Linked DNA regions of Tribolium castaneum. The protein of the gene in region 3 purifies or fractionates together with the protein of the main gene of each other region. This does not show direct contact. Links are inferred from orthologs where the notes say so. Each region holds a gene or a part of one and is shown on either strand. Other genes may lie near its edges.

Evidence for each region. Proteins that work in one complex are often made in the same cells at the same time.
Region 1: the proteins of Prp3 (region 3) and 7SK snRNA methylphosphate capping enzyme bin3 purify together in Homo sapiens (affinity purification with mass spectrometry; 4 studies listed by BioGRID and IntAct, counting the BioPlex papers as one, with this or other methods). This does not show direct contact. The link is inferred for Tribolium castaneum from reciprocal best matches to the Homo sapiens genes PRPF3 and MEPCE.
Region 2: the proteins of Prp3 (region 3) and Rnp4F purify together in Homo sapiens (affinity purification with mass spectrometry; 5 studies listed by BioGRID and IntAct, counting the BioPlex papers as one, with this or other methods). This does not show direct contact. The link is inferred for Tribolium castaneum from reciprocal best matches to the Homo sapiens genes PRPF3 and SART3.

Annotation. Positions count from the first base shown.
Region 1 is NC_087395.1:19,351,063-19,354,817, forward strand, and holds the start of 7SK snRNA methylphosphate capping enzyme bin3, read right to left. Parts: upstream 2,851-3,755; 5' UTR 2,696-2,850; intron 1-2,695. UniProt on the Homo sapiens protein: S-adenosyl-L-methionine-dependent methyltransferase that adds a methylphosphate cap at the 5'-end of 7SK snRNA (7SK RNA), leading to stabilize it.
Region 2 is NC_087396.1:21,413,709-21,417,463, forward strand, and holds the start of Rnp4F (squamous cell carcinoma antigen recognized by T-cells 3), read left to right. Parts: upstream 1-1,300; 5' UTR 1,301-1,505; coding exon 1,506-1,589; intron 1,590-1,641; coding exon 1,642-1,909; intron 1,910-1,964; coding exon 1,965-3,755. Other genes in the region: amon (neuroendocrine convertase 2), read left to right, coding at 1-281, 450-611. UniProt on the Homo sapiens protein: U6 snRNP-binding protein that functions as a recycling factor of the splicing machinery. Promotes the initial reassembly of U4 and U6 snRNPs following their ejection from the spliceosome during its maturation.
Region 3 is NC_087397.1:1,257,833-1,261,587, forward strand, and holds the start of Prp3 (U4/U6 small nuclear ribonucleoprotein Prp3), read left to right. Parts: upstream 1-951; coding exon 952-1,833; intron 1,834-1,887; coding exon 1,888-2,131; intron 2,132-3,755. Other genes in the region: migration and invasion enhancer 1, read right to left, coding at 343-604, 662-690. UniProt on the Homo sapiens protein: Plays a role in pre-mRNA splicing as component of the U4/U6-U5 tri-snRNP complex that is involved in spliceosome assembly, and as component of the precatalytic spliceosome (spliceosome B complex).

The sequences.
Region 1 (3,755 bases), on a different chromosome or scaffold from region 3:
AATTAATTAACTTATAAGGAAATGTAAAGGTAAAGGTGTTTCAAGGCAAAGATTCTTCTTAGTTTTTTTTAAATGTTGTCTAGTAGGTATTTCGTCTTTTGCAATTATTTAAAACCTTCTTCCTAATAAGACAATATTATTACTTAAGTTCTAGCTGTAAAGACAAATTAGTTAGAAAAAAATGGCCATTTTACATTTTTTTGTAATTTTGCAGTAAGCGAAGGGTTACACCGTTGTTTTTACCAACACCATGTATAAATATTTTACCCAAAAAAAATCTATCGTAATATTTCATTTATTTCAACCACTTGCAAGCAATTTAATTATTATCTCTTAAAATCAACTGAAAACTTAATTTAATTTATTTTTTTCAGAATTTTTCTACAATTCCTTAAGCAATTATAGGCCGGTTTATAGAAAACTTCATTAATTTCTAATTCGTTGTTAAAACTTAACAACGCGAATAAACTAATCACAGGCGAATAGACTAATCACATTGGTTCAATTTGGTCACGTGATCTGTTAATCAGTGAAATTAATGACGCTTCTATAAACCGGTCCTAAAATTTATGAATTATTAATTATTATTAACTGTTATTTTTTGTGTCATCTGAAAACAAGCAATACTTAAATGTTGTCCTGTGATAAAAATCCATAAAAAATGTCGCTAGCCCCAAAAATAATAAATAAAGTTATAAATTCAAAATTTAAATAAACGTAATTTTAGGGCTACCAAAATTTATTTTATAAGAATTTTTGCTCGAAAACATTTAGACATCGTTGTTTTAGAATAACACTAAGGGTCGGTTTATAGAAAGCTTTATTAAAATATAATTCTTTGGGCGCATTTACCAGGTTTATAGAAAGCTCAATTAAAGTTAACTGCCTTGTTAAAAGTTAACAACGCGAATGGACCAACCAAATTGCTTTAATTTGGTCATGTGATCAGTTAATCACGCATTTAATTGTGGATTAAAATAATGACGATTCCATAAACCAACCCCATTTTTTTAATTTCATTATATTAATACAAATTTAATAAATTAACTTAACGGTAATTCAAAATTACCGGACAATCTCTCGGGTGCGGATAAAGGACATCAAAGAGAATTAAAAATTCCTATGACAAAAATTGTTTTAGCCTTTTTCCACGAGCTATAACTACTCAAAGTAGAATTTTTCAGTTAAGTTTTTGGTGATTCAGATTACATGTTTTTTGACGTTTTGCGTAAACGACAAAAAAATCAAAAATTAATGTCATATGATGTACAAAACAATTAAAAAACTCGCAAATTCGCTAATAAATAAAATTCGACATCATAGGAAACAAAAGAGCAAAAATCGATACACCTGCTAAAGAAAACAAATTAAAAAATATATAAAAAAATGACTTCTTAGAAAAAATATTTAACTTCATTTTTGTCCTTAATTGAATGTCTTTTATCACCATACGAGAGTTTGTCCGACACTTTTGAATCACCTTGTAAAGAAGAGTAAAAAAATTTGGAAAAATTTCACATACATAGCAAAAAACTTAATAGGCCGGTTTATAGAAAGCTCCCTTAAATTTTAATTCGTTGTTAAAAGTTAACAACGTGAATAGACCAATCATTTGTTCACGTGATCAGTTGATCACGCATTTAATTGCGAATTAGATTATTGACGCTTCTATAAACCGTCACTATGTATTTAACAGTGAATACTGAATGCGGTGCGACCATTAGTTTCTGAGAATAGTGAAACATACTTTTAGCAGACTCACCCCGTATATACTCAACTATTTCTTGGTTTCGGCACGGTTTGAAGCTTGGCTATATTTTCAATATGCAAAATGTCAGTTGTAACAAGATCTAACGTGTTGGCAACGAAGTAATCATATATTATATGCCTGGATTTTTTATCAATGAAATATGTAAAAATAAATAACCCACACGCAATATCAACGATAAAAGATTCTTATTACAAAAAAAGTAACAACAAAACTGCCATTATTCATGCAAACATGCATTTTTGTCAAACAGCCAAATTACAAATTAATTACAAATATCTGGGTGTAATGTAAGTATATTGACAGAAGATAGCGATTAAATTCGACTTAGGTGACTTGATGATAGACATTTTATAAATACTCTGTATTCTTGTACAAGCCGTTGCGTGTATTCTGATTTTTCGGTCGCACTTCGGTTACAGTTGTCTAAGATCAAGGATTTGACTATTTCTAATTTAATCCGTCAACACATTAAATATTTATGACCAATCTAAATGCACCAATAACTGCAATAAATTATTCTTATCGTAATCGGTATAATACACAACACCTCAAATAAATCAGATAATTAATTACCATCGATTAAATTAATTAAACTAAAAATGTGACGTTAAATTCCGGCCGGAGCGTATAATAAACGTCCGGATTCCCGCAATTTGATAACAAACCCGCGAAAGCAGTGTTCAATTAGGAACCTTCCCACTGAGCAAACTCCCGACTAAATAACCCTCTCCGAAGTTCACCTCAGCGGTGGCCCTTCTAAATTTACGAAAATTTCGAAAAAGCCCGGCACCCCAAGTTCCCGCAAAAAATCGGCACTGCGCACGCGCACACCGGAACAAACATGTATGCCACTGCGGAGATCGACGTTGGCTATCGTTTTGGGCGAAAACTCCTCACAGATTACATAAATGTCAAAAAATTTACCTTCAACGTGTCCGGCGTGGCTTCAGCTTTCGTTTGATGCCCTTTGAGGGCCACTTTTCCCTTAGGTTCCGCTGAAAAACGGCCGAAAAAGAGACTTCACTTTGCAACGCACCGTCTGAACGACTACAAATCGTTGTGCTTGTAAACTAGACTCCATTTTAATATCAGTGCCGGAGTTTGCCGAAGCGGAGCCGATGAGGGACGATGGGCGATTTAGCGAGGAGTTGAAAAGTGTTATGTTCCTAATTATGTAATTTTCGGGTAATTGGGGAGGTAACCGAAAGGTATTGCGGATGATTGCGTTTTTTCGACGTTCTAAATTCGCGACCTAATTAACCGGAATTGATTATTTGAAAATGTGTCGATACGGTCCTGGAGTTTTATTGGCGCAAATGATCATAAATTCGAACCACTTATAATTATTGGGAAATAATTAGTTTTTCCTGCTGAAGGAGTGGCTGAATTCACAATTGGAAACATTCTTGAAAAGTTTTGTTTATAGTCTGTTGTAACACCTGCTTCGAATGCACTTCGTAAATATTTTTGGACAATATATTTGTATTTTATTTTTGGATGACGTGCCAAAATTGCTTGTCTTCCGTTGTACAAAGTGTGTTATTTATTAGTCATATTTATAGGATCTCGATGTGATGTTTACCTTATTACTCCAATGCGAAAATAGATATTTAAGTTTGAATGCAGCTTTATAGTTTATGAAACCATCTTCTGTATCTTTTCGATCGGACTTTTTATGCTTTATCTAGTAGTAATTTTTATTTGCAAAATTATGACATGTTAAAGGTGAAAATGGCAAATAGTCTTAAAAAATTTGGTTTGTATCTTTAGGTATACTAGAAACATAAATAATTGTCGACCTTGAAATAAATTTTTATCAGGTTATTAGTTTTTAGACGTTTTACGAGCGGTAACTGGACAACTGGCGAAATATCTATAACCACAAAGTCAGTTTTTCTTTTCATAATTTTATCTCTTTCAAGAAATATACAGGCTGCTCCAAAACTGGTGCACCAGCTCACTGGTAAAATGTTGGAAAGCATGT
Region 2 (3,755 bases), on a different chromosome or scaffold from region 3:
AGATACCCTCGGCGAAGAAGCTGGTCATGCAGATTACGACGACGGCGTGCCAGGGGCAGAGCACCGAGGTGAGGTATCTGGAGCACGTGCAGGCGGTGCTAACGGTGAATGCGAGTCGGAGGGGCGACCTGGAGCTCTTCCTCACGTCGCCGATGGGCACCAGGTCTATGATTCTCAGTCGAAGGCAAAACGACGATGATACGAGAGATGGGTTTACGAAGTGGCCTTTCATGACCACGCATACGTGGGGGGAGTACCCGCAAGGGACGTGGGTGTTGGAGGTGGGTGGTTTTTATTAATTTTTTACATTTATTTTTGAAATGTTTGAACTTGATTACGTGGAAATTGGGGTTGTAGGACACAGGATAAATTAAATTAAATTCGTTACGACGTTTCGATACTTTATTGAATATCTTCAGTCAAATTTATTATTATTATTTTTGTTTCAGGCCAGCTTCAATTCGCAGATGCCGCAAACGGGCTTTGTCAAGGAGTGGACTTTGATGCTGCACGGCACAAAGGAGCCCCCTTATACGGAATTGGCGGTTTTGGACCCACATTCCAAGCTTGCTATAGTGAAGAAGGCGCATGAAAATCGAATGAAGATGTAATTGGTCTCCAGTTTTGGTTTATTTATTTGTTAAAGATTTGATAAAGATTCATATATTTTTAAGTAGAGAGTAGCGATATACTGAAATATTTAAATAAATCCATCAATCTCTAACTGTACTGTAATAAAAGCATGTGATTATATAAGAAGTATAAAATATCAAGTAATTATTGGATTTTATTTTTACAAATTGTTGGACAAGAGCTTATATTTTGTATAGCGTTCATTATTCAAATATATATTAACTGAAAGAGATTATTTATTACAGTGCAAGCGATGAATCTCATGCAATTGTACAAAATTGTAAATTGTTTACAATATAAACTTTATTTCCGATTGTGATTTTGTTTGCTTCTGCTGGCCGACAACTGTAAATAAAACTAGACATTTAACCAATTTTTATTGCTTGTTTTATTTATTTAAGATTGCTTCATAGTTTTACAAATTCAAATCTTCAATTCAAACAGCTCGTATCTTTTTTGAGGCGCATGTGCACACCCAACCAGAAGCATGGCATAGATGGTCTCAAATTTATTCGGAGCAAAGACCAATAAATAAAACTACATTTTTACTAAAAAACTTTTATTCAATTTAATCAACTCACACCACGTTTAAATTAGAGATTTTATGGTCGTAAAGCGCAACCAGCAATACACATCCAGAAAAACAGTTTTACAGTATTTTTGCTAATAAATTTCAACATTGAAACCAGTTTCGGTTTTTCTGAACAAACAAAACTGTTAAATTGTTGTTAATTAGAAGTGTATTCCATTGGTATCGTTTCAAATTAATTTAGTAACTTTGCTGCTCAAAATTAGACTGGTAAATCTTCTGTCACTGTTTGCCAACATCAACATAACCCAACTTTCCTATTTGTCAAAACGTACTTTTTACGATGGAAATAAACGACGATTCCAACGAGCAAATGTCGGTCAACTCGGACTCGGACTCCGACTCCGGGGACGACCAAGAGGAGCAAGTAAGGGCCTCCACAATCCTCCAAAATTTTTCTAACTCTAAGAGTGTCTCAGGCCCTCCTCACTCGTGCTGAAGACCTCGAACGCCAAATCTCCGACAACAAGTACCTCTACAATGCCCACGAAGAGCTCGTCAACTTGTACCGAAAACTGGGGGACTTGAAGTCGATGCGTCTGGCGTACGAACGCTTCCAAGAGTACTTCCCCCTAACCCCCGAGATCTGGCTCGCGTGGATCAACGACGAGAAAAAGTTAGCGAGCTCCGAGAGCGAGATTAAGAATATTTTCGGGCTTTTTGATAAAGCCGTGGAGGATTATTTGTGTAAGTTGGTCAGGTAGCCTGAAATTAGATTGGCAAGCCTGACACGTTTTTTCAGCTGTGAATTTGTGGGTGGAGTACGCGCAGTACTCGATTGGGGTTAGCACCCTTGACACGACACGTGTGATAATCGAGAGGGGTTTAACCGCCGCTGGGTTACACGTGGCCGATGGGAGCCTCCTGTGGGACACTCTCCGGGAGCTGGAATTCGCCCATTTGTCCCTGACGGAGGCAGGGAGCGAGCCATGGAAAACCCAAGTGGAAAAAATCGTGGAGGTTTTCCGGCGCCAACTCTCAGTGCCGCTCCTTGACATGGAAAACACTTACAAGGAGTGGAAAGAGTGGCTAACGCAGGTGCAAGACCACAAAATCAATGCTGAACCGGTGGAGTGGGGCTATAACAAGGCTTTGAAAACCTTAGAGACCTACAAGCCGTTCGAAGAAAAACTACAAGTAACAACGGACGAATCGCAACTATTACGAGTTTATCGCGACTACGTCAAAGTCCTAACGGACCCCTCGACAATTTTGTGTCTTTATGAACGCGCAACGGCCCAGATGTGTCTCAACCCGGAGATTTGGCTCGATTATTGTCTCTACGGCCTGAAACTGGGAGCCCCAGCTGAAAAAATCACAACTAAGGCTTTGAGAAATTGCCCCTGGAGTCAAGAATTGTGGATTATGCGCCTACAAGTCCTTGAAAGTCTCCAGAAGGATAATAGCGAAGTTGTCGCTTGTTTCGAGCAGGCTGTGTCAAATTTAGGCGCCCAATCAAGCGAGCTGTGGCTCGCCTACTTAGAATACGTCTCACGGACGTGCCAAGACCAAGCCAAAGTTTTCAAATCTTTTGACCAAGCCTTAGAACAACTAAAATATAACGACGAAGGCGCCCTCAAAATCACAAAGTGGTATTCGAGAATTTTGGCCAAAAATAACAACATGCAAGGGGCGCGAAACCTCTGGAAAAACCTACTCAAAAGCCCGAACCACAAAATCCTGGCCAACACTTGGCTGGAGTACGCGCGGCTTGAACGCCAGTTCGGGGAACCCCCGCAAGTCCGCGCCATTTTCCAGAAAGCCCTAACCAATTGCACCGACTGGCCCCTGTTTATCGCCGACGAATGGCGTGAGTTCGAACGCGAGTTCGGTAAACTACCCGACGTTCTAAAATGCCTCGAAAAACGCAAAGAAATCGAACCGAAACTAAAAACGATTGAGCCGCCGAAAGCCACCGGAACCAAACGAAAACACCCGAGCGAAGCCGAACCCCCGCCTAAGAAACACAAAAAGCAGGCGGTGGTCAAAGACCCGACTCGCACAATTTTCGTCAGTAATCTACACACTAGTGTGAATGAAAAACGACTGAGGAAATTCTTCCCCAATTGCGAAAATGTCGAAATTGTGGTCGATAAGCGGGGGAAGTCCCGGTGTTATGGGTACGTGCAGTTCGCCCTTGAGGAGAGTGTCATGGCGGCGCTGGCACGTGACCGGGAGCTGCTTGACGGCCGCCCTATTTTTATTTCCAATTGTAAGCCGAATCGTGAGGAGCGGAAAGCCGGCTTTAAGTACTCGAATGAACCCGAGACCAATAAACTTTTCGTTAAGGGACTCCCCTATGACAAGTCGCAGGAGGAAATTGAGGCGATTTTTCGGCCTTTTGGGGCGAAAACCGTGCGTTTGGTGTGTCGGCGAGATGGTAAGCCAAAAGGACTCGCGTATGTTGAGTTTGAGGACGATGCAAGTGCTAAGAAAGCCATGGAAAAGACCGATGGGATGACAGTCGGGGACTTTACCATCAGTGTGGCAATTAGCGCGCCCCCTGTCAAGAAACCAACAACAGTTGCAAAAA
Region 3 (3,755 bases):
TCACTGTTTATCGTAAAATTTTATTACAGCTGTAAAGTTGTTTTCCACTTCCTGCTTGACCAAACAAATCTATTCTCATGTTTGGATCAAGGAACCAAAATATAACGCATAAAATTATATTGTACACAGGCCATTCCAAATTTTAACGCCCGCCAAAAAAGAAATTAAAACTTAATCCCTTGTTAAAAGTTAATCCGCGGTGAATTTAAGCATCTGATTGGTCAAATTTAGTCACGCGATCAGTTTATCTGACTTTTGATTGCAAGTAACAAGAAACCTTTTTACACATATATTTTTATTTTCACAACAAACTCACAAAAATAAATAATACATTAATTTTTATCAAGCTATTATGCAACTGGTGATGGGCTGTTGTTTACAACTTCGTGGTTCTTTTCCTTGAGCCACTTCATCAATGATCGCAGAAAGGTCGTCATAGTCAGGATAAGCAAGGGTAGTTAATTTAGAATGAACCAAAGTCCCATTGACTTTAACTTCAAATGTGGCTCTCCTGCCTTCATGCCCATTCAGTTCAATATCGGGGTGTTTGGCTTTAATATGCTGCGCTAACTCTTCGAACTTTTTAAAATATCCACAAGTCCCACTACAAATAATCTCTGAAATGATATAAATAAAACTAAACCATCTCCATTTTTTTTACCAAAACTCAACATCGACTTCAACCCCCATTGTAAGTTAATCCAATCGAGGGATTATGGCCTCTCCCTTATTCTATGGCTATGGCTTTATGGCCCTTCCTGATTTTTTTATTTATTTACACTTGTCACATGCCCATAACCCCTAATTGTCATTTTGACATGGGGATTGTCATTGGGATATAGGGTATTTCCAGTTTGTTCCGTTGGTGTTGTCCAATTTTTGACTTCTAACCTAAAATCGTGTGTGTAAACGTTGGAAATCGTATCTTGATAATTGTTAAAAAAGCCAAAAATGTCGTACCTCTCCCGGCGAGAAGTGGAGGACTTGAAACCCTCTATAGACAAAGCCGTTTACAAACTGCTCGGCAGCAGTGATAGCTCCCTGGTCAGTACCGCAGTCCATTGTTTAAATTCAGGGTACGATAGGCGCAAAACTACTGACAAACTTTCGTCTTATGTTGATAGCAAAAAGGCGACAAGACTAGCCGAAAAGATATTTGATTTAGTCGAAGACTATCATGCCTCGCATCGGTCGAAAAAACGATCGCGTGACGATTCCCGAGAACGAGACTCAAAGCGCTCGAAATCGCGCTACGACGATAGAGACAGTAGACATGACTCCGACCGCAACAAATCCAAATCGAGCGAGATCATGGAAAGCGCCCAGAAACAAATCGAGGAGCGGAAGCGGGCCCTAATTGATGGGCTCGCCTTGGGCAAGAACAACATCAACATGAACATACCCCAGCCCAGCATTTACGGCATCCCCATGGGGCTCCTCAACAGGGGCGACGCCGACAAGGCCCGCAAAATCGCGCAACTGCAAGCCCAGATCAAGAGCAAGCTCTCCAGCGGGATTTTGACCAACGCCATACAAATACCAGTGGTGCCCAACAGGCCCACCCCCCTGATCCTGGACGACGAAGGGAGGACCATCGACAAGACGGGAAAAGCGGTGCAACTGACCCACGTTGTCCCAACACTTAAGGCCAACATCAGGGCCCAAAAGCGCGAACAGTTCAGGACGCAGTTGAGCGATAAAACGGACGACAGTAACGAAATGAAATTTTACGATGGGAGAATTGGGATAAAGCCGCCGATTCGGAACAAAAGACAGCTTAGGTTCCACGAACCCGGCAAATTTTTACAACAGGCCGAGCGGCTTCGTATGAAAGTATGTCTGGGTTTTTTGTGGAAGTGTGTTGGGTCATAATGAATTTTTTTTCAGGCCCAGTTGGAAAAACTGCAAAATGAAATTTCACAAATTGCGAAAAAGACCGGCATTTCGTCGGCTACTAAGCTTGCGCTTATTGCAAAGTCTGAGGGGGTGATTGAGGACATACCGCAGATGGAGTGGTGGGATTCCGTTATTTTGATCGATAATTTAGATTTGATGCTCAATGGGAAAATCGCAATAAAGGAATCTGTAATTACCACGTTGGTTGAGCATCCAACCCAGCTGAGGTGTCCAAGTAAGAACAACTATTTTTATTTTTTTATTTTCAGTCTCCCGTCGGGAAATACGTTGAGTTATATAAAAAAATGTGATTTATTCTCGGTTTCTTATATAAGAATTTTTCTGGTGTAATAAACGTAATGATAATGATAATTTTGGTTCAGTTTTGCGAAATTTCGGCTTATTGTGGGTGGAATTCTGTGAAACAAATAAACTGATTGCAAAACATTAGAATTTTTTACTTATTTTATTGATTATTCTGTCGCTTTTATTGACCTACTTTGGCGATTTTTCGGCTCAGTTTAATAAAATCCCTTGAAATAAGTATGTTTCTGGATAAAAAACGGACTACAGCGCTTGAAAGAGTAAAAGAAAATTTCACTTTTGAACTTATTCAGTGTTTTTGGATCCTGTTTACTGAATTTTCGTCGGAACAACTTCGTTTAAAACACGCAAAGGCCTCGAAAAAAGCAAAAAAAAACTATTAATGAGCTAATTATTGAATCTTTTGTCTGATTTAATTGAAATCCCCCTAAATAATTGTGTTCCTGACTGAAAAACTTGCTAAAACAAATGTCATTTTTGGCTTCATTTGCAGAAAAAAACTATTTTATTCCAACAATCTGTTTAAGTCTTTGAAAAAAGTGAAATATAACGCTGTTTTTTTATCTAGTTTGGTGATTTTTCGTCTTATTTTTGAAGAAATTCATCGAAAACTTGTTATACCTTCGGATGAAGCAAAAATAATGTAATACTTGCCCTAACTTAGTCTTTATTTGGCAATGTTTAGCGAAATTTCGCGAAAATTTAAGTCTTCTTGACCATACATCAGCATAATTTGACGATTTTCATTTTATTTCTGACCGAAATTTACCAAAATAATTGGATATCTGTCTAAAAAATGTGTTAAAACAATCGAAATGATCGAGAGTGATGTAATTTTTGGTTTATTTAGTGATTTTTTTTCCTCACTAAATTGACAACTTTTCGGATTATTTTAGTGAAATTCTTTGAAATAATTATTTCTAATTGAAAAACGTGTCAAAACGCCCGAAAGTTGAAGAAATAATGCCATTTTCAACCATATTTAGTGACTTTTGTTAGTAAATTTTCTCCAAAAAAAAAGTTTTTAGTTCAAGAACGTCTTTGAACTGTCGAAAAAAGCAAATGAAATACTTTTTTCGACATAATTTAGCGATTTCTAGGCTTGTTTGTAAAGATATTCTTCGAAATAATTGTTTCTGGCTCAAAATCTTGCGCTAAAACGCTCAAAAAAGAAGAAAATAATGTCATATTTGACCTTATTTAAATTATTTTTGAGTCACAGTTAGCGAATTTTCGCTAAAGAAAACTTAATTTCTTATCTTAAAAACACGTTTAAGCCCTCGAAAACAAAACAACATCCTAAGTTAACGATTTTCCAGCTTATTTTTGCAGAAATTCAACGGAATAATCACTCTCAATAAATGTGTTTTTCCTTAATTTCCTGACCTTATTTAAGTGATTTTTGGGTCCCAGGTAGTGAATTTTTGCCAAAAACCTTACATTTGATGATTTTTGAGCTCATTTTTGAATAAATTTGTCGACATCATTGCTTTTCTAGCTCACAAACTTGCTAAAACATTCGAACCTCGTTTTTG